Tamandua tetradactyla: one gene and its partner. The protein of the gene in region 2 purifies or fractionates together with the protein of the main gene of each other region. This does not show direct contact. Links are inferred from orthologs where the notes say so. Each region holds a gene or a part of one and is shown on either strand. Other genes may lie near its edges.

Region 1 (15,740 bases), on a different chromosome or scaffold from region 2:
TTTGAACTTTCTGTGCTTCAGTTTCCTTATCTGAAAAATGGTGATAATAGTATCTATCTCATAGAATTTTTGTGAGGGCTAAATGTGCATATGTCTGTGTATTTTAGAATAGTACCTTAGAATTGTACTTAAAATTGAATTACTATGTGTCTGCTCTTAGTGTTATTGTTTATTTTCTGACTTAGAATGTAAGATTCATGGGTAAAAGATCTTTTTTTGTTTGTTTGTTTATTGTTCCATTGTCATCTCCTAAAAACTGTGCATAAAACTGGAATTAATAAATGTTCATGTCCTCGGACTTATGAATAAATTAATGCAATATTTAAGCCTTAAATGTTAAGGTGTGGGCAGAGAAAATGGGGCTAAAGAAGATCAAGAAAGACAGCCAGAGAGAAGAGAACAAGGAGGCTGTGATGTTTCCTAAGCCACATGACAGGAGACTTAAAAAGGAAAGAGTAGGGGGAGGTGGTCCAAGTTGGTTGCATAGGGAAGTGGGGATTTTGTTAGTTCTCTAGAGTAGCTTGTAAATAGCCAGGAACTGTCTGGAACAACTGTTTGGTGGACATCTGTGACTGGACACACATTGTGCACCAGTCTGGAATGGATGCACAGACTGGATAAAGCCCCCAAACCACCGAGGCTGGTGGCCCTCTCCCACTGGCATGGCAGGCTGTGTTGGAAACACTTTCTCATGGGAAAAGAAGCAGTCTCTACTAGGAGCAAGGGAAGGTAGCTCAGCTAAGCTCCAACTGAGGTTTTAATTAACAAATTTAAACTGCTAAATACAAGTCTGACCACAAATAAACTCAGGGCAAGCAGCAAAGGAACCCTAAATTCTCTCCAGGAAGAGAGGAAGTGGGGCTGATGGAAAAATAAAGGAGGTTTTTCGAGTTGGCTGTACTCAGAATACTGGAAAAGGGCTGCACCCCAAGAAAAGGGCATATAGAGCCAGGTACCACTATGGCTCTTGATTGGTGAAACTTGGGAGCTGAGGACTGGCTCTGAAAAGTTGTTTTTTTTTAAAAAAAAAAACTATTCTAGTATCTCATTAGAGAAAGCCTCAGGTACTTTCAATTGTCAGCACATCAGGCAAGGGCAGAATTAAGATAGGTCTGAGAGGCAAAGTAACTAGTCAAGTGAAGGAGATAATTCCCTAAAGGGCATATCTTCCCCAAGAAAAGGAGGGGGTGGGCCCATCTCAACAGCTGAAGCTTGCCTTCTATTTTAGCCTCTGTCTCAACCATGCCCCTGGCAGGGACAGGGTCTGCTGAAAATTAAAAACACTACACCATTTTACATTGGTGGTTGTGGTGGTGGTGGTGGTGGAGGGGGGGAACTGCAGGCTGAAAAGTTCCACCTGCTAGGCAGGATATGAAAACACAGAGTCTAGAGGCTTCAACAAGGAAAGCCTGACAACCTGCTGGGTCTCATCCTCAGGGAAACTTGATACTGATTACACCCTCTTCCTGAGACCTGGCCTGTCTGGTCCTGGAAAGTCTGATTGTGGTTGATCATATATGCGGAGACCCTCCTCATAGAAAGGTTCCATAAGGCAGGGTAAGAGCCAGAAAAACAAGAGCTAAAAAATTCTGATCAGTTAAACAGAAGCCATGCTAGAGATCTAGAATAAGTTGAACTGAATGCCAAAGAACAGGTAGAGAACAAAGCCAACCAACAAGAAACCCCTAGGTAAAAGAATGAAAATGACCTCCCAAATAAACAAATCAAGTAAATCAGATGTCTAGACACCAGTAAAAAAAAAATTATGAGCCATATTAGACAAAAATAAGATATAGCCCAGTCAAAGGAACAAATTAAGACTTCAAATGAGATACAGGAGTTAAAACAATTAATTAAAGATATTCAAACAAACATTCTAAATCAAATAAAAAATCAAATCAATGAGTTGAGGGAAGATATGGCAAAAGAGATGAAGGGCACAAAGAAGACACTGGGAGTCCATAAAGACAAACTTGAAAGCTTGAAAAAACAAATTTAGAAATTATGGGAATGAAAGGCACAATAGAGGAGATGAAAAATGCATTAGTGACTTATCACAGCAGATTTGAAGAGGCAGGAGAAAGGATTGGTGAACTAGAGGATAAGACATCTGAAATCCTACACACAAAAGATCAGATAGGGAAAACGATGGAAAAATATGATCAGGGTCTCAGCGAATAGAATGACAACATGGAGCATGTGAATATATGTGCTATGGGTGTCTCAGAAAGAGAAAAGTAGGGAAAAGAGACAGAAAGCATAATGCAGGAAATAATCACTGAAAATTTCCCATCTCTTATGAAAGACATAAAATTACAGATTCAGGAAGTGCAGCACACCCCAAAGAGAATAGATCCAAATACAACCTACTCAAAGACACTTACTAATCAGATTGTCAATAGCAAAGACAAAGAATTCTGAAAGCAACAAGAGAAAAGAAAGCAGAAACCATGGAGCCGAGAAGGCAGTGGTTTGATATATTTAAGATACTGAATGAAAATACTGCCAACCAAGAATGCTATATCTAGAAATAGTTTTCCTTCAAAAATGAGGGAAAGTTTAAAATATTTTCAAACAGACACTGAGAGAGTTTGTGAACAAGAGACCTACTCTACAAGAAGTTCTAAAGGGTACACTACAAGCAGATAGGAAAATACAAGACAGGTTTGTAGAAGAGTGTAGAAATGAAGACCATCAGTAAGGGTACAGAGTAATGTCATGACACATGCAACACCATAGATGAGCTTTGTGGGCATTATGTTGAGTGAAATTAGCCATAAACAAAAGGACACCTACTGTATGGTCTCATTAATATGAACTGACATTAATGGGTGAACTTTGAGAGTTAAAGTTGAGAACACAGGTTATCAGGAGATGGAAAAAGAGTAGAGATTGGGCATTTGATGCTGAAGGGATACAGAATGTTCAACAGGATAGATTGTAAAGGTCCAGAAATGGAGAGCAAAATACTATCTGAAGGTAGCACAATATTGTAAGTGAACAAAGCTGAGTGTGAGTATGGGTTGAGGGAGGATGGCTAGGGGCATGTATGGCACCAGATAAAGACTGGGACTGTGTAATTTAGCAAAACCTAAAGTGGACTATGATGGTTATTAAATGTACAAATATAAGAATGTTTTTGTATGAGGGAAAATAAATGAATGTCAACATTGCAAGATGTTGAAAATGGGATGGTATATGGGAGAAATATAATCAATGCAAACTAGGGTTTATAGTTAATAGTAACATTGTAATATGATTCATTAAATGTAACAAAGACAATATACCTAAGCTAAACATCAGTTAGAGAGGGATGTAAGGAGTGGTATGGGATTCTTGGTGTTGTTTCTCCTTTTATTTACTTTATTATTTTATTTTTTATTCTTCATTTTTCCCTCTTCTTTCCTTGTAGAAGAAATGGAAACATTATCATATAGATTGTGGTGGTAAATGCGTAACTATGTGATTATACCGGGAACCATTGATTGTTTACATAGAATGGATAATACGGTGTGTGAATAAAACACTTTAAAACATAAACAGAAAGTTACAAGTGCTGGGGAAAATCTGGAAAGAGAGATGTACCTATCCACTGTTAGTAGGGAACTAGAATGGTGCAGCCCCTCTGGAGGGCAGTGTGGTGGTTTCCATAGGTGACTAAGTATAGGGTTGCCATATGATCCTGAAACCTCATTATCAGGTATATACTTGGAAGAACTGAAAGCAGGGACAGGAATTGACCTTTGTACACTGGTGTTTATGGCGGCAGAATTCATGATTTGCAATAGATGGAAGTAGCCTAAGGGTATGTCGACTAATGAACAGAAGGGCAAACTGTGATGTATACATACAATGAAATATTGAGCAGCTGCAAGAAGGAATAAAGTTGAGAGGCATGCAACTAGGTGAACAAAGCTTGAGGACAGTATGTTGAGTGAAATTAGCCAGAAACGAAAAGACAAATATTATAACAATGACTTATATGGACTAACTATAATGTGCAAACTCTGAGAATTGAGTTCAAGACCATAGGTTATCAGGGGGAACGTGTAGTTAAAAGTTCCTAGATTGTAAGTTCTTACAGCAGTCACATCAATTCCTGCATTGTAATGGTTATTTCTAAATTCTGAGATGCTGAGCTTTTTGTGTACAACCTGTTTGTCCTCTGGAACTTCAGGTATTTGTGTGACACCTGAGATTCAGAGTTAGAGTTCTGCAGCTCTGAAGTTGGCATTACTCCATACACTATCTAATTTAACTTATATGGTCAGTTTATTCGAACATCATAATTAAATGAATCTTGCATAGGGTATCAGATCTTGTTGGTTTGTACAGGTTAATGTGATGGCCTGATATATGCCAGAGTAATCTGGGCAGAAAATAAAAAAGCATCTGTTAAGTCCCCTTGAGGGAATGGGGGAAAAGTGGAAACATTAAAATTTCCCACCTCAGGAATTCCTGGTATTCTTACAAGCATTAGGAACTCCCAGTTTAATAAGTCAAGCCCTTGATCTTGGGGCCTGCCCTTATGCAACTTATTCCTGCAAAGGAGAAGCTAAGCCTATGTATAATTTGCCAAAGATTCACCCCCAGAGAACATTTTCTGTTGCTCAGATGTGGCTGCTCTCTCTAAGCCAACTCTGCAGCAAAGTTGGGCATGACTCCCAGGGTGTAAGTCTCCTTGGCAATATGGGACATGATTCCTGGGGATGATTCTAGTCCTGGCATCATGGGATTGAGAAAGCCTTCTTAACTAAAAGGAGGAAGAGAAATAAAACAAAATAAAATTTCAGTCACTGCAAGATTTCAAATAGAGTTGAGAGGAGATTCTGGAGGTTATTCTTATGTATTATATAGTTATCCCTTTTTAGTTTTAGTGGATTAGTATAGCTAGAAGGAAATACCTGACACTGAACTGTGATCCAATAGCCTTGATTTTTGAAGATGATTGTATAACTATATAACTTCCATGGTGTGACCATGTGATTGTGAAAATCTTGTGACTGATGCCCCTTTTATCCAGTGTATGGACAGATGAGTAAGAAAATAAAGACAATAAATAAATAAATAGTAGGGGAATAAGGGTTATGGAATGTTTGGGGTGGTCTTTTAAATTCTTTTTATTCTTATTTTTTTTCAAATAATGAAAATGTTCAAGAACTGATTGTGGTTATGAAGGCACAACGATATGATGATACTGTGAACCATTGATTGAACACTTTGATGATTATATGGTTTGTGAATATATCTCAGAAAAACCTAAATAAACAAGTATATAGTTATTCATTAACAGTAATTTTATATATATATATATATATATATATATATATGAAGGAAACAGTGGGCAACAGCATCAAACATTGCTAGAGGGTCAGAATAAAATAAAACACAAAAACAATCACTGCTCATTTTACCAAGGAGTCCCTATCTTTTGCTTTTATATCCTGGTAAGTAATGGTTTGGCTTCCCTTCTCCCCAAGAGGCTTTTTAAAAAATAGTATATGTCCACTTCAGAATAAATCACTTGAATAGGTCTTAAAAGTTTTCAGCCCTTCATTACCAATTTCCAAAGAAAAACCAGTCCTGAACTTAGTCTTGGCCATAGATAAAGGAACCCATCCTCAGTACAATTCAGCACATTTTCCCCTGACCTGTACTCTCTTCTTGAATTCAGCAGCAAAACCTGCTTATTGACATTTGTATACACCTCCATTTTACTCCCTTCCTTTGAATGTCCTTCTCCCTTCTCCCCTTCTACCATACATTTCAAAAGTATAAGTAGAATGTATGAAGAACTCTAACAACTTAACAATAAAAAGACAAGTAACACAATTGAAGAAAGTTAGACATGCTAATAGATAATAAGCACATGAGAAGATGCTCAACATCATTCATTAGTCATTAAGGAAATGTACAGCAAAATCACAATGAGATGCCACACTTCACACCCACTAGGTTCTATGATTTTTAAAAAGACACATAAATACAAGCTTTGGTGAGGATGTTGAAAAATGAAAACTCCCATACATTGCTGGTGGGAATGTAAATTGGGGCAGTTGCTTTTGAAAGTGGTCTGGCAGTTCCTCAGACGGTTAAACAGAGTTCCCAGATGACCTAGCAATTCATTCATAGGTATATACCTAAGAGAAATGAAAACATATGTCCATATAAAAATGTATTCACGAATGTTCATGACGGCATTATTCATAATAGCCAAAAGTGGAAATAACCGAAATGTCCATCGATTGATGAAAGGATAAATAAAAAGTAGCATATCATTATTCAACAGCAAAAAGAAGTACTGATACATACTACAATGTGGATGAACTTGAAAACTTTACACTAAGTGAAAGAAGCAGTCATAAAAGACTACAAGTTATGTGATTTCATTTACTTGAAATGTCCAGAATAGGCAAATCTTTAGAGACAAAAATTAGATTAGTGGTTCTCTAGGGGAGGGAGATGTTGGAAGGAAATGGGGAGTAACTGCTAATAGGTAGGTGGTTTCTTTTTGGGGTGATGAAAGTATTCTAAAATTCACTGAGGTTATACTTGCTTGCACAACTCTATACTAAAACCCACTGAATTGTGCACTTTAAATAGGTGAATCATATGGTATGTGAATTACATCTGAAGAAAGCTGTTATTAAAATAAAAGTGTAAGGAGACCAAATTTTTTTCTAAGGAGCCATTTGTAACTATTCCCATTCAGCTTGGGGTCACCAGAGTTTTCTTTTTGTATTTATGCATGCAATCCTGCTCAATTGCATTTGCCTATACAGGGCCCTTTCTTTCTGTGTACTTTGTGCTTACCTATGCATTAGCATTCTAATCCTCAATTAATGCTACGCTATGCCTTCTCTACCTGTATGTCTAGAATTTCCAGAGAACATTATACAATCATGTGAATTGAACCTCAGAATGGAGGAGTACATGGGCTTCAACTATATTGGCAATGCTTTATTTCTCAAGCTGAGTGGTGGGCATGTCCTTGTTGCTATATTATTCTTTATATGTTTATGAATTTTAAAATATTTAATACTTTTTAAAAAAGTAATTGTTCAATACCGTCACCTGGGGCTGAGGAAAATCTCCATCTCTTTAGTTTGCAATAGCCAAAACTCCTTCAAAGTGGCAAAGCAGAACAACTCCATGAATCAAATTATTCACAATGGATTAGGAGCTTACATGCTATATATAAAACGATAATCCATAAATTCATGCTTACATTTTTGCACAGGATAGCACCTGGGTTTGCTTGCGTTAGATCCTTCAAACTATTTAGTATATGAATCCTTGTGGCAGACAAAGAGGATCAAATAGAAATTGATAGCAATTTGCAAAGTACAGAATATATGTAAGCAAACCATTGATTAACTTTGTTTTGGTTCATTGTTTATGTTGGTGTCTCTGTGTATTTGCAGCTGGGTTAGTGAGACGCTTAGAGAAGACCAGTCAGATCCTCACATACTCTTTAATGAGGCAGACCTTGCAGGGTTAGAAATTGCACATGTAGAAAGAAGTAAACGCTTAAAATAATATCTCGAAATTTTGCAACTTGCTGATGAATAAGAGGGTTGAACTAAATGTTTTCTGAAGTCCCTTCTGGCTGAGGGTGTTAGCAGTTCTCCCCAAGTACCTCCTGGGAAGGGGCAGAGAAGTGCTTGGTCTGAATGCCCACAGGCCAGGGCGAGAGAAGACTCCTATGCCTCTCGTACATCATTTCCACGACGGAGGTTTGGGAGATGCATTCAAAGCTCAGGGCTGAGTAGAGTGGCCTCGAGGCTGAAGTGGCAAAGCTAGGTAGAAAAAAAGGATTTCCTTTTTGAAATGACCTCACTTCAGGCTGGGGGCAGGGTATTGAGGGGCTAAAGTAACTAAGAAAACTCTGGGAAAGAGCCTGGGAGCTGTATTTTACTGTTTGTCTGCTAGAATGAAGAAAATTTTTTTCTTTACCTTTTTAAGATTTTAAAAAAGATTTGTTATATTATCAAAGCCATACATGCTCATTACAGGATAGTTGAAAAATACAGAAAAGAAGAAGAAAAATGAAAATTCATTTAGTCCATTGTATGACCATATTTTAATTTAAAAAATTTTTGTTTTGTAGTATAACGTATATACAAAGAGAGAGAAAAGCAATAGTTTTCAAAGCACTCTTCAACAAATAGTTACAGGACAGATCCCAAAGTTTGTCATGGGCCAACATATGATCCTCTCAGGTTTCTCCTTCTAGCTGCTGCTCCTGAATATAGGAGGTCAGAAGGCATAAATATTTTTTTATCATCACAATCGACTTTTTTTCTTTTTTGTGAAAAATGACATATATACAAAAAAGCAATAAATTTCAAAGCACAGTACTACAATTAGTTGTAGAACATATTTCAGAGTTTGGCATGGGTTAGAATTCCACAATTTTAGGTTTTTACTTCTGGCTGCTCTAAGCTACTGGAGACTAAAAGAGATCAATTTAATGATTCAGCAATCACATTCATTTGTTAAATCCTATCTTCTCGGTGACCATACTTTAATTTACTTAACCATTGAACCATTAGTTTTCTTCCCTAGTATTTTACTATTCTAAGAAATACAAGGAAGGTAAGTGGTGTGTTGGAGAAGGAAGCCAGGTTGCTGGAGAATAAGAGATGAATGAAAGGTAGGAGAATGGAAATAGGAATGTACCTTTAAAGTACATTTTCAATCAACTTGCCTATAAAGAGGAGCTGGAGTCGACTTCGTGCGTAGGGAGGATATATATTTTTTAAGGTGAAGGAGAATTGAGCATGTTTAATTGCTGATGACAGCTTCAGAGAGGCTTGAACAGGTTTAATGGCTAATGAGAGGGAGGGAGGGAGAGAGTGAAACCTACAATCTACAATACTGGGTAGATATGAACATTTTAAAATCTATTAGTATATATTGCTCAGGAGCTTTGTAAGACGGTTTTTACCAGTACACTCCTACTAGCAAGTCTGAGAGAGCTCGTCCGTGGCCACTTTGCTATCCGTAAGTTACAATAATAATAAAAAAAAATTTGCTAAAGAATCGCATCATTCTAATTCGCTTTCTTTGATTACTAGTGAGCTGAATATTTTAACCAGTTGTTCCTTGTGTGTACATTTAGTTTATGTCCTTTGCCCACCATGTTTTTATTTGAGACACTCTTATTTGCCATAAAAAGCCGAAAGCCAAAGGATCAGAATGATATAACATTTTAGGCTTCCAATTTATGCAGTCCAGAGTCTTCATATTCTTAAGTACACGACAGTTTGACAACTTTGGGCCCAGCTGAGCGGAAGAAGGTAATTTTTACCATCGAAGAGAGTAGGCACAGATGGAAGTAAAGTCTTAAAACCGTCTAGTCTTAAAAACCTGTCTTCAGTCCTCAAGCTCCCTTTCCTAACCCGGGAGACACCCATTTGGTGGCCAGAGCTGCCCTGGCGGGAGTGGCCCGCTAGTAAGGAGCCCAGAACGCTGTGCGGCCCCTTTAAGAGTCCAGCTCCTCCCCGCTCCAAAGAAAGTTGCAGCTTTTTCCGCCTCCCGGGAGGGTGAGAAGGACGGGCCGCAGGAACGGGCTTGTGGTCTTCCTGGAGTTTGAGACTCTCCTCTGAATCCGGCCCTCGGACATCTCATCTGCTCGCAGCACTTATTGCAGGTGACAGGTAGGTGCGCGACCAGCGGCCGCCCCTTCTCCCTCAGTCCGGTGCTCCTTCTGGGCCCCCAGTCCCCTTTTCGTTTCCGAAGCGCCCCCTCCCACTCCGCGTCTCAGGGACCTGCGTCCTTCCCCCACGCCCCTTACGCCATTCTTGTCTTTCCTTCTTCCTCGCTGACCGTCTGCCCCCTCACCCCTATTCGCCTCTCTGGACCGACCACCCACGCGTTGCCTCCAGTGTGCTTGGGGCGGTCACTCCCTGCTGGTTTTCTTTCTCCCGGGCCTCTAGTGTCCTCTTCCCCTGGCCCACCCGTTACTAACGCGGGCGGTGCCCCTGTGGGCTCTGCCTCCTCCCTTCCCCACCCCCACGGAGTGCACCGGCTTTTCCCGCCTGCCAAAAACCAGGGCCCCTCGGGAGAGCTAGCCGTAGGGGCGGGGATAGGGGCCAGCTCCTAGCGGAACTGTGGCGCCCTCCCAGGCGTCGAGTCCCATTCCCATCGATTCCTCCTGGCCCGAGTGCTAGCGGGATCTCTGCTGCTCACTGCCTCAGGACCTCGGACTTCGCGGCATCGGCTTCCCCAGCCTTGGCCGGTCCGCCACTGGTAAAGGCTGGAGGCTTGTTGGCCCAGAGCCCTGCCTCAGTGGGCTTTCTCAGCGCTTGGGGTTGGTGACCCGGGACCAGGCTTTGTGCTCTAGCACTGAAATGCTTTGTCTTGCCATCCTTTAAGCAGGCTGCGGGGGGAGGGGGGTTGCTTCTGGAGGAGAGTCCCCGTAACCTTCAGAAGGGGGCTTAGAATGCTTCCAGCTTCTGTGATGGTTTGTAATGGGCAGAAAAGGTGTCCCTAATAGCTCTTAACGTTGAATGAGATGGTTGGGTTTTTTTGAAGGTAAAATCTTTTGGTTAGAACCCTAGTGGCTTAAAGTGACTTGTTTTTCATTAACCGACTTTTTCTTCCCCCAGTGCCCTGCTGCTTCGGACCAGAAGACCTAGCATTCCAGAATACAGCTTTTGGCAGGGTTGGCCCTAGACCTTGTACGTTTGTGGCAGAAATTAGTCTTCAATACATCCTGGACTTACAGGTTTTTAAATGGCTTCTTTCCTGCCCTCTCAACTCCCCACCTCCACCTCTCATAAATCCATTCATATTAAGGTGTTAATGACCTAATGTGTTTATCCTGCTGGTCTGCAGAGAGAACTCTTTAATGCAAAGAGTTGAGGTGCTGATGAAGTTTTTTTTTTTTTTTAGCACCTGCTGGAAATCCTAGTAGAAAAACACCACCTTGGTTTGTGAGGCTTTTCTTGGGCAGGGGATGAACATTTTGGATAACAACATTTCAGGTACCTCACTCCTGGTCAGAGCGGTAAAATGGAGGTCAGAGTGTACTCCTTGAGTGTGTGTAGATTCTGGTTGATGGCCTCTCCTTAAAGGTTGCTGGTAATAATAGTTGTTAGACTCCATTGAGCCAGTGTAATAAACTCATTGCATGGTTATCTCATATAATCCTCATGATAACTCTGCAATAAAACTACAATTATGACCATATTATGATGAAAAGGAGGCTTAAGTGCCTTGTCTCAATCACCCACCTGATGAGGGGCAGAACTGGGCCACCTGACTGCAGAGCTTGTGTTTTTATCCTCTGTCATAACACCTCTACTGTCTTGGATATTAGGAATGCTAATTGCTCATGACTGAGGACTAAGTGATTAAAAATATCCCTTCCAAGATGAAACATAAGTTTTGATCCTTGATTCTACTTTAGATTCACTGTGGAGACTTTGGACAATTTACTTCAATGATGTCTTACCCACTTTCCTTCCAACATGGGGCCAATTGCTATGTTGCCACTCTAAGCACATACCTTTGTGTGTATCCAGATGAGTGAAACCTGGGCTTTCAGCTCAGTAGTGATTCTCCCGAAGTTAGGAGAGGGTAACCCTGGATTCTAGGGATGTGCACCTGGTTCAACTTCTTCCTCTTCTTCTGGCTAGGGGAGAAATGAAGGTGTGGTAGGTGATAATGATTTACCTACAACCAGGCCAGAGAGCCTGATGATGATTGTGTGCTTGTTTTGTCATGGCATGCATGGGGCATACCATTTTTGGGTAGGGATAGTCCAGGGTAAAATGTCCTCCTTGATCTCATCTCTGAGACATTGCTCACACTGCTCCCCTCCCCTTTTTTTCCTAAAAAAGCTAACTTGCTACCTGCACACACACACCAACCATTAATTTTTATTCATCTCTAAATATTTAGCTCTAAAGTCACCTTCTTTGGGACAAACTCACTGAATACTCACTTCCTTCCCCTAAGCAGAAGGACTGATTACCCCGTGTCCTAAGGCAGTTGTTTATACCTCAGTAGAGCCAACACTTATCCTACCTGTTTTTCCATGTAAGGTTGTACCCTCTTTAAAGGGCAAGGTCTGGATCTTGGAGTTCTCTTTGTCCTAAGTGCAAGGGATTAACAAGTATTTGTACTATTAACTGGGGATGTAGTGCCCTCAATGGCCTGAGGTCTGGTGATGGTGTGAAGTACAAAAGACATCCTCCTGAGGCACTTGAAATCCTGCAGCTCAGTGTTTTTACTTAAATGTCACCTTGTCAATCAGGCCTTCCCTGACCACCCTATTTGAAATTGCAACTGCTTTTCTGAGCATTCTGTATAATCCATCCCTTCTTGATTACTCTCATTTTTCTTGCCTGTTGTCTTTCTCCCTCCAATATAACATAAGCTCCCTGTGGGCAGGGACTTCTCTGTTTTATTCGCTGGTATATCCCAGCACCCAGAACAGAGCCTGGCATATCGTAGGTGCTTACTAATATTTGTTAAATGAATTGATGAACGACAGTACCATTCTATGAACTGGCATTCTTTTGTGGTCTCCTGGACCTAAGGTGAAGCCCTACCCAGTTGGACACACTATAACTGTAAGGTTGCCCCAGACTCAGTTCTCCCACAGCCTTCCTTCTGCTGGGTTTTACTTTGACATTACGTTCTTGATGACTACTTTGACCTAGTTGTAAGTGCTTCCTCTCTTATTTTGAAGCATGGATTTCTGGATAGAAACTTCTAAAGTTTAAAAGTGGAAGTGTAAAGATGCTGTGCTTCTTGTTGTTAGGAAGGGGGACCACACTAGGAAGAGGGACTGTGGATTGTCAGAAGTCTTGAGGCCCTCAAGGCCTTTGGCAAGCTCCGTAGGAGGTTAGAGAAAGTTATTGTGGGGCCTGGGAAGTCAACAGCTGAAATGAATAAAGGGTGCCCCAGTTCAGACTACTGGCCTCCCAGTCAGGTTACCCTTAGCCTTTCAGGCATGGGTTGGTTGTTGCGTTATGAACTTTGTGGAAAGTCATAGCTGAGTGCTACTTACTGTACTACTTGATTAGTTTTTTTTTTTTTTTTTGACATGGACAGGCACTGGAGAACCAAACCCAGGTCTCTGGCATGGCAGGCAGGAAATCTGCCCCTGATTAGCTTTTGTGCTAGGAGAATTACGTGGTGCGAGGGAACCACTGTGTAATATAAAAGAAAAAAACAAGACGAAACAACAAAACAACACTGTTCTGTCTAAATGTGGGGTTTTTTTTTAGAGCAAGTAGGTAAGAAATTTATTAAGTGTACATGCAGAGAAAGGAGCATGTGGACACTTTTGCAAGTAAAGAAAGATGGAGCACAAGAGGCAATGGGCAATGTGAGGCCATTTACTTTTGTAGATTAGCTTTACTTATTTCCCTTCCCCTTCCTTGTTCGGGGCTCTATCTCCTACCCTCCCTTCTTCCCAGGGCCATGTCTGGTGGTAGACAGTACAGATGGGTGGGTCTGTTGGTGTCACCCTTCTCTGAAGGTGACTCACTTAGGTGGGGGTCATTTGGCTCCAGATGGGTTAGCTGCCCGAGTGTTTTCCATAAGCGGGTAGCCCCTGGCAAAGTATCTGTGCTGGACACAGGGCCTGCTGACCTTGATTAACCATCCTTGTTCAAGGGCTGCTTCATGGTTTTCACTCTCTCCCCTCTCTCCCTGTTCTAGCCTGCCTCAAATTCCCCCTCAGAGAGTTCTCACCCCTCAATTTTGAGGGATGCCAAGGAATGTTGGTCTGTCTTCTGTAGCTGCTTCTGGCTTATTGGGGGGTGTAAGCCCACTCTGATGGGGCATAGAACTCTCTGGATATCTTATTTAAGAGAGGAGAAGCCCGGAGGCACGCTTGGAATGGCTGAAAATCCTTGCATAAATATTGGTTTGGTGTGAATAGCTTCTAGTCTGGAAGAAATAAACTTGGTGAGAAGCTTAATAATGCGAGGGCCTAGTAACAGCAAGGGAAGGGTAGAAGTAAGTGGGCTTAGGGGATGCATTAGCCAAGTGAGACTAGGGAAGAGGGATGGAACTGACCATCTTTCAAGTCTAAGAGTGAATCTTAACTGGGTGGCTTGTTCCTGTTTAACTGGGGAAGAGTGCTGTATGTGCTAAGTTAAGGGGTGCAGGAATGGGGCTTGATTGACTGGGCTGCAGTTTTGGCTACTGTGTTGGTCCAGTTATTTCCTTGAGAGATGTTAAGATTATTTTTCTGATGGCCAGGGCAATGAATTACTGCTGTTTTTTTTTTGTTGATAAGAGCAAGGCGTTTAAGAAATTGAGTATTTCTCAGTGGTGTTTGAGAGAAAGATTCACTTTTTCTACACTGTTGCATGAGCATGCAGGACACATGCAAAAAGGCAGTGTTCCCTTTTTCTAGTTTTAGAGCTCAGGTGAGGACAATTAGTTTTCATTTTGAGTTGAAGTCCCTGGGTCAAGGCTTTGACTTATTAAATCGGAAGCCTACACTGCTTAAGAGAATAGAAGAAATTCCCTAGGTGGGGAAATCTAATAGTTTTATGGGATTTTGTTTGTTTGTTTTTTTGGTTTTAGGGACTTTGCAAATGTATATTTTTATTTTTTTCTTATAATACTTTGGCTCTTATTTTGGTCTTACACAGAACTTTTTTTTTAATTATTTATTTAAAAAAATTTAACAAATGAACTAAAACATTAACATATATAGTCAGTAATTCACAATATCGTCACTTAGTTGCATATTCATCATTTCTTAGAACATTTGCATCAATTCAGAAAAAGAAATAAAAAAGACAACAGAAAAAGAAATAAAACGATAATGGGAAAAAAAAAGATTATACATGCCATACCCCTTACCCCTTGCTTTCATTGATCACTAGCATTTCAAATTAAATTTATTTTAACATTTGTTCCCCCTATTATTTATTTTTATTCCATATGTTCTACTTGTCTGTTGACAAGGTAGATAAAAGGAGCATCAGACACAAGGTTTTCACAATCACACAGTCACATTGTGAAAGCTATATCATTATTCAATCATCCTCAAGAAACATGGTTACTGGAACACAGCTCTACATTTTCAGGCAGTTCCCTCCAGCCTCTCCATTACATGTTGAATAAGAAGGTGATATGTACTTAATACATAGGAATAACCTCCAGGATAACCTCTCGACTCTGTTTGGAATCTCTCAGCCATTGACACTTTGTCTCATTTCACTCTTCCCCCTTTTGGTTTAAAAGGTTTTCTCAAAATCCCTTGATGCTGAGTCTCAGCTCATTATAGGTTTTTTCTCAATCCTTTCGTATTGAGTCTCAGCTCATTCTAGAATTTCTGTCCCACGTTGCCAGGAAGGTCCACACACCTGGGAGTCATGTCCTATGTAGACAGGGGGAGGGTGGTGAGATTGCTTTGTTGTGTTGGCTGGAGAGAGAGGCCACATCTGAGCAACAAAAGAGGCTCTCTTGGGGGTGACTCTTAGGCCTAAATTTTAAGTAGACTTAACCTATCCTTTGCTTACACAGAACTTTTAAAGTTTTAGAATATAAATAATATTCTATATATCTTAGCCCTAACTAGATTAGCATAATTTACATATTCTGGTATGGAGTAATGCTGAGTTTTAGACCTGGAGAACTTTAACTGTGAGTTTCGGGTGTTATGTATATTCTTAAAAGTTTTAGGGAACTACTAGGCTACACAAAGAGCAAAGCGTTTTAGAATTTAGATATAGCAGTTAAAGCTTAGGAGTAAATGTGAT
Region 2 (15,110 bases):
TTTAACTAGGAATACTCTGCATTAGGATTTCAAACAGAAGGACTTTTATCCATTTGCCAAGTATGTCAACTCTCAGGACAGGGGGTTCCTAAATTAAAAAGGAATCCAGAATCAGGGTTAATGAGGAAAGCATTTGACTTTGCTTGCTTGGTTTTTCTAGTATCTAAGTGAAACACTAAAGAGATTTGGAGAGATTATATAGGCAAATTTAAAAATCCGTAGTACCTACTAATGGCCTAGTGAAGGCCTGTGAGAAAAGCAACTGGAAAGTTGTTCATTTCATTTTATTGCTACTATGTAGTCTTCAACAACCAGTATACCATTTCCAACTAAAGATGAAAGAATAAGCTTTTCTTTATGATTCCCTATTTACCCTACTTATTTAACTCTGCATCATTACATTGTAACTTTCACAGTTATGAATACAAGAAGGTTTCACTAAAGTGACTTTTTTTTTCTAAGGTATATCCTGCAGTGTTGTTTCCAGCCTTGCATCCAATGGAGGCATTGTATCTCAAAACCCTAAGTCAGAGTTTGATAACAGATATTATATGACCAAGCTTAGGAATATCTGTCTAGGATAGAATGTGGGTGGAGTGGGAATGGAGGCAGGGACTGGAAATGACAGTTTCTATATATAGTTAGTTGTGGTTATCTATCTTCAGTTCATTCAGGGAATTAATAATTTACTAAATGGGCTGTTTTGCACCTGCTTTCCAAGCATTTGGGCAGAAACTTCAGAAAAGTAGAGCCTAAGTCAGACTAAGATTCATTATTCAGTATGTGGCAACTCTTGACATTGGAAAATGTTTCTATGTTATTTTTTCATTTTAGCAAAAAGATACACTTTTCCCTTTCTTCAAAAATCTACTCTCATTCCATATTTGAATATTCCCATATGTCCAGAAATTTTTATCAACAGTATTTTTTGTTAATGAGAATAACATACTTTGAATAATAGACAAAAAGTTATTCTTTTAACAAACTTCTCAGGCTCTGAGGGCCTTCCCTAAGTTGGAATGGATAAATATAATTCAAAGCAATTTTGCTTTTTTAAATTATTTGTGTTCTTGTGTATCTCCCAGGTCAGATTTGATGCACAGTTTTGTTCTTCTGAACAAGTTAAGGAGAGAAGCAACAAAAAATTCAGATTGGATTGACCCCAATTTCACCAGAATCAATATAAATGTATGTGCTACACAAAGACAAAAATAAAGTCTTGTTCTTCTTCTTATACCTTTTAAAATTAAAGTTTTCTCTCTTTTGTAGTCTACATATCTCTCTCCCTCCCTCAGACATTTGCATGTATATCTACATATATACATCTACATATCTATTTATCTATCTATCTATCTATCTATCTATCTATCTATCTATCTATCTGTCTAGATGGGTGAATAGATACATAAATGGAAGGAAGAGAGGAAAGAAAACAAGAAAGAAGGAGCCAAATATGAAACAAGAATTGTAGGTTATTCAGGTTTAGACTTTCACAATAAGGATCTTAAGTGTTTCACAATAAGGATCTTAAAATAATTAATCAATTCCTTTTATTTTATACAGTAGAAAATCAAGTTAAGGAGACTTAACTCCATGCCCACAGCTTTATGCTGTCAGTACTAGCAGTATTTGATCAGTCATAGACTCCTAATGGCTTGATTCAAACAGCACCAGTTACGACATCTGTATCTGCCCCTTTGAATTTGTTCCCAAAAGGCCTTGGTATCCTTGACTACTCTACCTACTTAAAAATACTTCTACTGCATTTCTGGGTATTAAACATTTGGTTTATATGGTAGTTAACAGTTTAATTTACTTTGATCTGTTTTGCTATTTTTACAACTGTATTAGCTAAATATTAACCATCATTTCTTAATGCACGATCTAGAATATCTATCAAATATCAAACAAATTATATTCTTATATTTGTTAGAATCACAGCTTTGAATATAATTTGAAGCTCATTTAGTTCAACATCCCCATCAGCTCCTTTAGTGTCCTAAGACCTTTCCTAGGTTAGCACTGGCAGACCCTTTTCCCTCTGCTGGAGTGTTCTCTCCTAACTCTTTACCTGGTGGGTATCCAGACATTCTTCAGTTCTCAACTCAAGTGCTGTTTCCCACCATTACTCTTTCCCACTAAAAGAAGTTACTTTCAGTCATAACAACTTCTCAGATTTATTTTAATTGTTTTAGTGTTAGCTAAACCTTTCCCATTTTTGAACACTGTTTTCTATTTTTTTTTTTTTTGCACGGGCAGGCACCGGGAATCGAACCCGGGTCTCTGGCATGGCAGGCGAGAACTCTGCCTGCTGAGCCACCGTGGCCCTCCCAAAACACTGCTTTCTTTTATACAAAAGAAAAGGGCAGCAAAATAGAAGTTGAGCGATCTTACTTTCTCTCACATCTAGTGACATGGCAGTTCTTTATTCACCACTTTGCTCTAAACATGTTAAAAGATCTTTATCTCTCCTTAGCCTTTATGTAAGCTTCGGCCCATTTTGGACTTTACTCTTCTTCATACTATGCTTTCAGCTTCATCCCCATCTCCCTCCTCATCTCAGCAATATCGGACACAATTGGCCATTCTCTTCTTGAAATATTTTCTTGTTTGAGTTCCACGACTACACCTCTCCTGGTCTGCCTCCTATTTCTCGGTTTTTTTTTTTTTTACCAGCTCCTTCTATTCTAGATCCCTAAATGCTAGAATAGACCTTAGTGCTCTACTTTTCTCTCTCCTATCTCTCTAGGTGATACCCTCAAGACCATGACTCCAAGAAGCATCTATAGGCAGTTGAATCCCAAGCTTCTCTATTCAGCTGTGATTTCCAATTGCTCTAGATTCACGTACCAAAAAGCCCAAACGGACATTTCCAGTTGGATACCTAAAAAGACCTCAAATGGGTGGAAGTGAACTCTAATTTCCCTTTCAAATCTCTTCCTCCCCTGGCATTAGCCATCCTAGGAAACGGCTTCACCCAGTATCTTCAGTACAAAGCCTAGTGATCATTTTGATCTTTCCCTTCCTGTATTTCTCACTTTTTATCTAATCCAAGAGCAAGTAGATAGATACTTCCAGAATCTATCTACTTCACTCCATGACCACTGTTCCAACAATTATCTATGCCACTGTCATCTCTGGAATAGCCTCTTAACTGGTCTCTACTTCTGCTCTAGACGCCCTGAAATCCATTTTCTTCAAGGTAGATAGAGTTATCTTTTAAGCAGATTGTTACCCCTCCTGAGGCTTTTCCCAATCACTGGATCACAGAGTCTCCTTGAGTCACACATTATTTTACCCTTAATTTTTTTTTTCCTGAATAGCTATCACTGGAACGTACAAAATCATTTGTTTATTTACTCATGGTCTATCTCTCCACACTAGAATGTAAATGCCATAATGGCCGAGCCCCTTTATAAAGTGATATATTCTTCTTGGAATGCCCTTGGGTATCCACCATGCTTAGAGGATAGCCAGGGCTATAGGGTGCTCAGTAAACATTTGTTGAGTGGATCACTGATAAATTGTATCTAAATCATAGTATCTCCTCAGATCATTCAGAATATAAATCAAAAGGCACCATGCTGATTATGACCCTCAAAGCTCTCCATGACCAAGTCCCATAACTGCTCTGATCCCATTACTTGCTTCTCTCAGGCTCACTCCCTCTGCTCCAGCTACACAGCCTTCTTCGCTCTTCTTAGGAGATGCCCTGCTCTTTGTTCCTTCATTCTGGAATTCTCTTTCTCTTTGTATCCACTTGTCTCACCCCCTTACTTCCTTCAACTCTATATGCAAATATCCTCTTCTCAGTGAGGCTCTCCCTGTGCACCCACCCCGACTTCCAAATGTCCCTTGTCCAGTGTTACCAGCACTTGCTCCGCCTCTGTTTTCTAGTCTCTCCTTAGCCCCTACTTTCATGTACCCTGATTTAACTTGCACACCTTGTTTACTCTCTGTCTACCCTTGTAAAATGAAAGCTCTATAGGGACAGATATTTTTGACTGCTTTGTCTACTTCTATACACAAAGTGCCCAGAATAGTGCATGATGCTATTAATAAATACTTGTTATTCAATGAACAAGCATCTTAATATACTTTTACTCTCATCTAGTTGAGCAGATGTTTAAGAAGACAATTTATTGAAAATTTTTTGGCTATTTTTTAAAAGGCATTTTATTCTCATTACTGGTGATCTAGAGAAGTTTCCCTCATTTTAAGGGCAGCTGATGAGAAAAGATTAATATTTGGAGAACATGAATAATGATTGCAAATTGCGTAAAACAAATTGAGCAATACTCTCAACTCCATATATGGGGTTTACAATAGGTTTTTCATGATTCTTTAGTGATGCCATTGCTTCCTACCATGATGGAATAAATTGAAGTTCCATATACATCTAATAATGGATTAAAAATCATTTCCCTTCAAAAGCCATCTTTAGAAAGTGATGTATTCTTCATGGGAAACACCTGGGTTTGCCCTGTCTGTTTTCATGGTAATTGTTTTCCATGTCAACATTGCAATTACTTGCTTAAGAGCTGAACTATTAGCTAACCAACCAGTTCCTTGATGAATCAACTCAAGAAACTGGATTAATTATGAGTAGAGCTTTTACGTGAATAGTTGGTCTAATTTTGTGTTCTATTGAACCGAGAGACCAAAGAAACTAGCCAGAAATTTCCCATTATGAAGGTAGGAAAGGAGCAGATTTCTGTTCTGAACCACCTGGGACTTAGGCTCACTTCCACTTTTCCAGAAGAGTGAAAGAAATGAAAAGCAATTCTTAAACCAGCAGATAATTTTAGTATAACTTGGTGTATTAGGAGCTGAGAAGTCCACTGGTGTTAGAATATCTTTTCTGCCAGGTCAAATATGTCTGTTCCAGATATGGCCTATGAGAAAGTTGTGGTTTGCTTACATTTGACATATTCTATTTATTCGTTCTTGGCAACTATGAGAACAGGCTCATCCAGTTTCGTCTGAAATGTTTTGTTTTCCTTTTGAAAGCAATGATAGTAAGATTCTACAGAAGTTCATAGTTCTTCATAACCAGAAAACTTCACTGATATTTAAATTACCTATCAAGATTTCTCTTTCTTTGGTCATCGCAAGAATCCCTTCTTGTCTTCCAGAAGGGCTGATCCCACCTAACTGGAGGATTTTACTAGCAAAGTATGAAAAGTAACTATTTGGGGGGGGGATGGCATAAGACAAGATTGGATCTCACTTCATAATTATGATGTGAACTATAGAGAAGCTTGAGAATTCAGTAAGCTTAAATGCCTTAGGATATAATGCTGAAGTCCATCTTTGTTAATTTTCAAAGTTGAAAACTATAAAATCATGCATATGAGTACATATATTTATTTATTACTGAATATGTGTATGTACAGAGAGAGCTAAATGCTGGGAACAGTGCCCATTTTTCTTTTAATGAGAACAAAATCAATATTCATTAGTATATATATTAAAATAATAATTATGTTGCTAGTAACCCTGAAATTACATGCTATTATTTGTTTTTAATTTAATGATGTACCATTTGAATAGCTGGAACCTTGTACCCTTCATTTCAGACCTTGAATGAAAGAACCTGCAGCATGTACAGGTGAGGTGACTTTAATCAAATACAGCTTTTTGCTAGGAACAAAACTTCTGCTTTTATGAGTTATATTTCACCAGTTTCATTAGAATTCACATGCTTAATTAGATAATGTATTGGGTGGGAATACCTTGGAGGCCAATTTATTCTGATCTCTTGAATGGAGAACACACACACACACACACACACACTCCAGTAGCTTCCACACTTAGATCAGAATGGTAAGGAATGCAGCAAAAACTGGAAAACAGAAATTTCTCATCTACTCGAGTACAAAGCTTGAAGAAATGCAAAGAATATCCCATCACTTGCCTGACTTGCTTCACTAATTCACTTCTTAAATGCAACTCTAGTCGCATTATTATTATTATTATTATTATTTTGATTGTTTTTGAGATGCAAACAGGAGGAAACAGGTATCGCTGTGCCTTTTTTTTTTTTGTCCTAACCAGCTGTTTAATATGCAAATACCAAATAAACAAAGACAGGCAGCTAGTTTTCTGATGACAGCTGTGCACGCACATCAGCGTCTACTTCACAAAGATTTCTGCTGGAAACTGCAGCTCTAACGCGCTCACACACAGACCCCGACTCGTCAAAAGCACAGATGCCAGGCGCCCTCGCCTCTTTCCAGGCCTGCTGCTCCTCATCCACGTCTCACTTCCTTTTTTGCAGGCCAGCAGCCGAGAATACCCTGGAAGGCTGATCACACATTCCAGCAGTAACAGCCCGGCTTCCCCGACTTACCAGCCTGCGAAGTTTCCTTGGCCGAGAGGGCTGGGTGTCAGGTTGCACAGCCGCTTCCTTCCCTTTCCGCGGCCCTTGGGTTCCTGGGCTCCAACACCAGCGACAGCCAGGGATCTGGGCTTCACAAGGCGACCTTGCCGGGGACGGCTCCCGACCTGTGGCCCCGGATCGCTCCTCCACCGGTCGGTCCCCGGCCCTGCCAGGCGGCTGGCACCACCCCCAGGAGCCGGCCGGAGCCGCCTCGGATCTGAAAGGTCCGCGCGAGGAGAAGGCGTGTCTCCCAGGGCCAACGCGGATGTGAGGCGCTCACCTCAGGCAAAGCTGGCTGCTGACTCAACCGCTGGAAGCAGAAACACACTTGGCTTTTGGTTAAATTCTCCACACTGTGGGGTTTCCAGCCCCAGCGATGAGTTCATTTTTATAAGTGTGTTTTTCTGTGTTTTCTCTGACATCTCTTATTCAAAAACCCAGGGCATGGTGAGGGGAAATCTTCCAATGCACTGCATTCTCTACAAGGGAATCTCTCTGTCACTGTAGACAGGAAGTAAAAGGGGAGTTGTAAAGAAATGAGTATTCCTAAAGTTAAGATGTATTAACATGAATACTTTCATCAGTACGAGCCATCCTAATTGTGCTTCCTTAAAGTCACATCAGAGATCAGCGTGTTAGTCACTGCAGGCTAGGAGTGCAAATGGAATAAGTGAAAACACACAGTCATTGAACAAAGATGTACTAAGTGCTGACTATGAGGCAGGCCCTGCTCTAGACAGTTCAGCTTCATCCATCCATAAAAACAGACCGAGACCCCGGCCGGCCCACTTGGGGTTTTATTGCAGACAAACTGACATCCTTAGTTTACAGACTGATAGTGAAGGTAAGAATACAAGCTTGTGACATATAATAGCAGTGAGGAAAATAAAAAAGCTTCAAACCTGTTGCTTGCATTCATGCTGGTGACCAATAAGCAGCCTGTTTCACCCGCTCTCGGGGCGCTGGCCTTCTCAGCTTGGGGCCAACCCCTTCAGCAGTGTCATGAGGCGGGGTGAAGGAGCAGCAACAAATAAAACAAAATAGTGCAGAAGGGGGGAAAGGGAGGACTCACTGTGTCCCAGGGAAATCTGCCTGCTCTATTAGGAAAACACAAAGTTTCTATGTTCTGGGCCTCAGTGTGCTTATCTTTAAAATGGGGGATAACTGATAATTATTGTCTTCATAGGGTTACTGTGAGTAAATGAGTTCATCCAAGTTAAGTGCATTAAACAGTGCCTGGCTCACAGTCAGTTCTATGTATGTGTTGGCTAGTCGTAATTACTTTGGTAGCAATTAATCTACTCCATTCTCCCATGGCACAATCCAGTTCATATATACATATATTTCTGATCTACTAGGAGAAAGTATTAGAGGTTTAGGTTGTGAATTTTCAAAATATGTATTCCAGGAATCTTGATGGTATATTTATTTGCATCCATCAGCGGTATCTGATGTGTGTATGTATTTGCTGGCCTGGTTAGAGATAAAAGAAAAAACATGAAGACCTTGAATTTGTTCCACTGAATATAACACGTTATTAATTTAAAATGTTTCTTTGAGATATAAAATGATAACCTGTTTTGTTTACCTAGTTTGTGTGTTCACTTACTAACATTGATCTTAATAGTGTATTTCCTATGTGCACTAAAATTTAGAAAGTTTTTGCTCAGAGATCATCTCATTTGTTTTTCACATTATTTTGAAATCGGCAAGGCGCTTCTTATTTTTATTGTTCCCCTTTTAAGGATGAGGAAACTGAGGTTGAGAAAGTCCTAACCATTTGCCCAGAGTCGTGAAGGGCAGTAAAGGGAGAGCTCAGATCCTGACCGCTGAGTTCACGGTGATCACTACAGTGTTGTCCCACCACCCCAATATTTCTAGAAAAAGTTCCAGCCATGAGAAAATCTAACGCACACTTTTATTGTCTGCTTTCCTTGTCACCCGTCTGCAGACAAGTGTGTCAGCACTCCCAGAATCAGCAGCTGCAGGGACAGCTCTCCTGGAGTCACTTGCCACATAGAGTCCTGTCTTTCAGGTTTGAGGGCTCTGAGCCATCAGTTTCCCAGGGATGCTACTTGAGAGCACTGGAATGTTTCTTCCCTGTGGGAAGAGGGGTGCTGAGGAGGAGCAGGCAGTGGGTGGCAACCAGAGAAATGTTGCATGGCCACTTCGTAAAGCCCGCTTAAGCAGAGTTAGGGCAGCATAAAAATCACCGGAAAACCAGTGAACACAAAGTGACAGCATCATGTGTTATAATAAAAAAGCCTGCCTGTACCTGGAGTTCATGAAGCACAAATTAAATAGAGATAATTTCTGCTTTCACAGGATTATAATTCAATAAATGCAGCATAGAGGTGAACAGATTTAGAAATATACATGGGGAGACTTCCAGTTAAAAATGGTAAATTGATCATATGTGTTTCATCGCTCCTATCCAAACTCCTCTAACAGTAGAGTAAATAAAATTTTAAAAAGTTATTAACCCTTAAGGACAACTAAAAAGGAGAGAATAAACAAATAAAAGAGATACCAACAGACAAAATACACTGCAATGGATTTTGGGATGACCCTGAATCAGGTGGAGGCTTGGTAACTGATTTGGAAGACCAGACCAGTTTATACAAGATGTGCCTGCAAGAAAGGTTAGGTAGAAGAAGGGAGCAAATTCTGCATAACCCTTAGAAGCTCAGGCCTGAGAGGCCAAAATACCATAATAGAAAGAGGCCTGGTATTGGGGTAAATACAGGGATTTGGTTAGAAGTCTGCAGAGAGAATGCTTGGCCACAAAGTTTCAATCCCCCATGCTATGCAATCAACCCACCATAAATTCCTCCGTCTGCTCAACCTAGCTTAATTTCTCCAGCAGGAGATAAGCAGTTACCCTCTGGAGAGAGAAAACTAGAGTAATGTGTGGTTCAACAAGATGAACTGAACACACACATTTTATCTCTGCTCTTAGAAAAAATGAATAAAAAAGAAATTTATATACAATACAAGATAAAACTTTTGAAATTGAAAATATACTCAAGATTTTTTAAAAAATTGATAGATGGGTTGGAAGATGAAGTTTAAAAAATATTCAAGAAAGTAGAAAAGATGGAGAAATTAAAAATTGGAGAAAAAAAGAAAAATTTCCAATTGGAATCCCAGAAATTTCCAGAAAGAGTTATCTCTATTCAGAGAAAAAATAAGAAAAGAAAACGTGCAAACAAATCCAGAAATGAAGACCATGAACATATGATCTCAAAAGTCCAGGAGAAAAACCATTTAAAATTAATTAAACACACAAGACATATCGTTCTGAAATATCAGAAATATTCAGGAATAAAGAGAAGAATCTAAAATATCTCCCAGAAACATGAAGCAGATCACTTACAAAGGAAAATAATTAAAATTACATTGAATATCTCAAGAATAATACTGGATCCCAAAGATTCTTTGAATGTGCTCAATTTTTTAAAAAAATGAAATGACTTTGAACTTAGATTTGTATATCCAGACAATCTGTCATTCAACTGTGATTAAAGACATCTTTAGACATGCAAGGACTCAAAAAATATATCTCTCAAGAACAACTTTCAAAGAAGGGCTCCCAAAACAAGCTTCTAAATCATGAAAGAGGAAGAGACAGAATCCAGGAAATGTAGATTCAATAGATGAGAGAGTATAATAAATTCTCCAGAACAATTTTGAAGCAGGCCTAGAGAGAAGCAGATGAATGAATGGTAGCAGTACAAATGGTCCAAGAAAAAAGGGAAAAAGAATAGAATAGCAAAAAAGAAAATGACCAATTATTAGATGTACATGTACATTTGGAAAAATATATTGATAAATGTTTATGCAGTGAATACTAGAAGAGCGCATCAAATTCCATGTTCTTCTCTTTTTCCCAGAGCACCTTAAAGAATTAGATTTCTTAGCCCCCTACAGCTGCGGTTAGTGGGTGGGGAGGCATGGGACTAAGTTCTAGCCATTGAAATGTGGGCAAGAGTGAGTACGCCTCTTCCAGGCCATTCCCCTGAAATGACTAATGAGATCCTCCAGGCCTTTTCTCTTTCCTTATTGCTGTCCAGGTAATACAGAGAATCAGTACAGAGCTCTGAGGCAGTAGAAGACATTAATAAAAACCTCTAGGTGAAAGAAATGCGTGGTGCAAATGATTGCATGATCTAGAAACCCCAGCTGATACCATTGGGTTGTGACATGTGCAAGAAATAAACTTGTATTGTCTAAAGCCACTGTAATTTTGGGACTGTTACACAGACCATTCTGTTAAAATTAGCAGGATCACTTGGGGCATTTCTGGCTAATACTAAACATACTTTTTTAAAAAAGGACATGATTTAACTCCAGGAAAACAAAAAGTTGCAAGAGAAAAGGCACGTAATTATGGTAAACCACTTGGCTCAGATGTAGATCAGAATAACGTGAACACTAATGAAAGAATTAATCCTCAGCTATGTTATAACTGTATGTGGAGGGTGGTGATAGGAAAAGACGATTTGTGCAACTAATTTAGATAACTAGATCCTAAACTATTTTAACATAAACTCAATAGTGTGTAAAATTGGTAAATAAACTGTTTTAACAATTAAAAATAAAATATACATAGGGAAACAAAAGACATTTGTTCAATAGAAAAAAGGCATTGCAATTTATTAAGTATTTGTGTATGTTAATAAAATAACCTATAAGCAGTAGAGAAAGTGAATTTGGATTGGAAAATGAAGACAGACTTTAGGGTTTACACAATCATTTATTCATTCAACAAACATTCAAGTAGCACCTTGTGTCTGACACTCTGCTAGGCACTGGGGATACATTAGAGAATGAAAAGGAAGAATAAAAGCAATCTAAGAGAAAATGAACATTTAAAAAGCTTTAAATGAGTACATTTGGTTTCTTCTCTTATATTTGGTGGCATGAGTCGTTAATCCTTTTTAGGCAAGATGCCATCCTTCCTTCTTCAAAATCCTCTTAAAAATTGCCCTCTTTTCTCCTGACCTGAGCCCAACACCGATGAGATGGAAACTTTCTCCTGGGATTGTGGGGAGGGTTTGGCCACGGAGTCATGCAGGCATCTGCCTCCATCTTCTGATGATCCTTAGTTCTGTGTCTGTCTAATCACAATAAAAATCAACCCATCCCCAGTGCCAGGAAACCCCAAAGCATGACTAATATGTCACAAGACTAGACTCCCAAGTCATGCAAGTTTCCCTAACTACTTTCAAAAATGTAACTCAAGAAATACATGTTATATGTTTCAGTTACTTTCTACAAAGCAAATTACTTGAAATGTATAGCACATTAAGACCTATTTTAGATTTATTACACCGGGCCTGTTTACACGATTATATCCAGAATAACTACCAGACAGCGGAGTCTCATCCTTCCCAGCTCTAACCTCATTTTGCCTTAGTTTCTCAAAATGTGAAATGAAGATATACTGGGGCCTAATACGGCCTTTAAGATCTGTCTGTTTTAAAGTTAGAAATAAAAATAAAATATTTGTTTAAATAATTTATTTGGCTATTAATAAACCTCCAATAAATTAGTTGGAGAAAATTTTACTGTATAGCTCCACATACGGCAATCTTTCAATCATTTTGTTACAATTAGACTTTCCTATTTAAAAATATTGCAAAACAAAAGCTTTTGAAAATATTGGAAACTTACAAAATTCCTTGAAGTTCACTCTAGCATCTAACCCCCTGTTTCCATGACTCCATGACCTCATGTATAGCAACTATTATTTTTATTTCACATATTCTTCATTTTGTATTTTAGCATTGGCTTTTTATCTCTGATTTAGTCCTAAGGAACAATAAAACATTATACATCCCTAATGCCCGCCTACTGCTATTGCTGGCACAACTGATATTTATTGGCCGTTACAAGGAACAGTCGACTGCATTTCTCACAGTAATTTCAGAAGGACTTTCTGCTTACACCTCAGCATATTTAAAATATTGCATGTTCATACTGATGAATTTGTGCCATCACACATGCAAAAATAAACTATATTTACTAAACCAGTTGACAAAGGTAGGTAATTAGATATTCAAATTTAATTAATACAAACATTAAAACAAAACATTTTGATATTTACAGGGAGAAGTTTTTATTTGGGACATTTATAATAAATGGAATACCAAATTTCCTAATGATGTCACAGAAGTCCAGCAGTTTTACACTTTAGCCTTGTAGATCCACAGTTGTATTTTTTATATTCCAATGTTTCAGAAAAATGTTCATTTTTTTCTATAAATGAATGAAATAAGTAAAGTTGAAATTAAATCACAACAGTAAAATGGGTCATAAAGTTGAACAGGCATTTTATAAAAGAAGATATTCAAATGGCCAAAAGCATGAAAAGGCACTCACCTCATTAGTTATCAGAGAAATGCAAGTTAAACCACAATTTACAGCTATGTGCGCACCAGAACAGCTAAAATGAAAAAGATTTGATAATATCAAGTGCTGATGAGGAATACGGAGCAATTGAAACACTCACCCACTGCTCCTGTGATGGCAAATTGGCATTTATGTTTTGGAAAACTGAGCTCAAGCAGAGTTATGACCCACCAATTCCTCTCCTAGAAACATCATCCCCAGAACTTCATAACATGTTGACAGTCTTTTACAAGCGCTATTGATAAAAACTGCAAACTGTAAACAACTGAAACGTCCAAAGAATAAAAACTTAATTTGAAGTATATTCATAAATTGACATATTGTACAGTGATAAGAAATAGGAAATTATTGCTACCTGCCAACAACATTAATCAATCTCACAAGCATTGACTAATGAGAAAATCCATACCCCAAACAATAAATTCTGTAGGATTTCACGTACTTTAAAATGTCAAAATCAGGCAAAACTAATCTGTGGGCTTTAGAAATCAAGGTAGTGGTTCTCTTGCAGGAAGTGGAGGGTAAGACACAGGGGATTTCTAGTTACGTGCTGTCCCTTCATCTGTGTGCTGGTTATGTAGGGTGTTTCTTTGTGAAATTCATCCAACCATATGCTTTTTCTTTGTACACATTACTGAATGTATTTTATCCTTCAATAAAATTACCTTAAACTAGAAATCAACAATAGGATATAATTGAAATCAGATTAAGGAGGAAAAGAGGCTGAGAAAGACAGGATGAAGTCAGAAGCAGGGTTAGTACAAAAAAATGCATCCTTTCTCATTATTACCACTGTTAGAGGCAGGCCATGCAATAGTTATGAGTCACTGTAGCCATAATATAAAAACAAATGTGTTGCTCAAGGGAAGCCCACCCATTATTCACAGGAGTAAGCAAAGAGAAATTTCCCTCATGCTCATTAAGAGGCTTTATCGTATATGATGAGCTATAACTTCAAGAACTTTCTTCAGGTAAATTTCACAATGAATTGCTTGGGGTGGTTTCTTAAAATGGCCATCAGTGTAGAAGGATGGCATTAATAGCAAATTATAATTCAGTAAAAGTAGTTCTAGGGAAAGTGAGGGGCTGTCAAAATGCTGTTCTTTGCATGTTTGGCTTAATCCAGAAATTGATTTAAGAGTATGAAACTGATGAACTGTGTAGCCTCAGATACACACATTGTGTGAAATCCTGAAGCACAAAATATTTAAGACTGTATTTTGTCAGGAGTACTAGGAGAGCAGCGAATAAACGTTGACAATTAAATGAGAATTCACATGTTTTAGCCAGTGGGATTAAGATTGGCTTCATGTTATGAGAGCTGAGAAGCTTGACATAGACGTGTCTGCAGAGAAGAGCTCCCTATTTCTGCCCAAGACTAACCCAAGGGAGATGCTCAGTTAGTAGACTGGGGTCCTCTCCAGCATGCACTGATTACATCCCATGAAGTTCTACTTCATGGAGCATTAGTTAAATCCCTGGGAAAAATGTGAAGGACGCATAACCCACGCATTTTCAATGGGAGTGGTATTGACCCAGGGCGATGAAAATGGCTCTTGGAGAGTGAAAAAAATCTTACCCTTTGTACGTATAAAGCACAGATGTGTGCGTACAAGAATAGACATACCATATATATCTGTGGTGTTAAAAATTTCATAGGGGGCTGTTAGGGAAAAAACGTCTGAAAAGACTTCTTGGGTGGGGTGGGGAGATGCATGAAATTAAAGTTGAGAAAAACTGGTGCAATCAAATGCCAAATGAAAATAATAACAGCCATCTCTCTTCCACCCCCAATTCTGAAAAATCACTCACAGAATGTCACTTATTCAATATTCTTCAATATAAACTATTTGCATATATATTCTCAGATAAATTATGAGTTAAATTCGTTAAATATTGGAATGTCTATTAAAAAGGTTAACTTTGTCCTAGAATATTAGTATTTTGGCATAGTTGTTCTTATGAATGCCACTCCTATGTTTAGAAAATAAAGTGTATTATATGCTTAACAATCCGTGTCTTTTTATTATCTGTAGTAGGAGGAAATATATATAGATTATTAAAAAAGTGTACCTTGTCAGTTGTTAAAAATTAAAAAAAATATCTGAAGAGTAACCTGCTCTACACACTGAGTTGCTAGAATGAGGTGGGATCACTGGAATTTTGCACACACACACAATTATCATGGTAATTGAAACAAATCAAACACACATAAAGATCATAAAGCTACTATCTCCCTTCCATTCTATTCCTTTGAGTTAATCAAATATATTTCCATAAGGTTCTTGATTGTCAATTATATACGAACATATAT

What was found.
Region 1: the proteins of RAB27B (region 2) and SYTL4 purify together in Homo sapiens (co-immunoprecipitation; 3 studies listed by BioGRID and IntAct, counting the BioPlex papers as one, with this or other methods). This does not show direct contact. The link is inferred for Tamandua tetradactyla from reciprocal best matches to the Homo sapiens genes RAB27B and SYTL4.

What each region holds. Positions count from the first base shown.
Region 1 is NC_135353.1:73,158,534-73,174,273, forward strand, and holds the start of SYTL4 (synaptotagmin-like protein 4), read left to right. Parts: upstream 1-9,532; 5' UTR 9,533-9,662; intron 9,663-10,613; 5' UTR 10,614-10,685; exon of another isoform or gene 10,686-10,732; intron 10,733-15,740. UniProt on the Homo sapiens protein: Modulates exocytosis of dense-core granules and secretion of hormones in the pancreas and the pituitary. Interacts with vesicles containing negatively charged phospholipids in a Ca(2+)-independent manner.
Region 2 is NC_135344.1:27,605,582-27,620,691, forward strand, and holds the start of RAB27B (ras-related protein Rab-27B), read right to left. Parts: upstream 7,336-15,110; 5' UTR 7,285-7,335; intron 6,884-7,284; 5' UTR 6,353-6,883; intron 1-6,352. UniProt on the Homo sapiens protein: Small GTPase which cycles between active GTP-bound and inactive GDP-bound states. In its active state, binds to a variety of effector proteins to regulate homeostasis of late endocytic pathway, including endosomal positioning, maturation and secretion.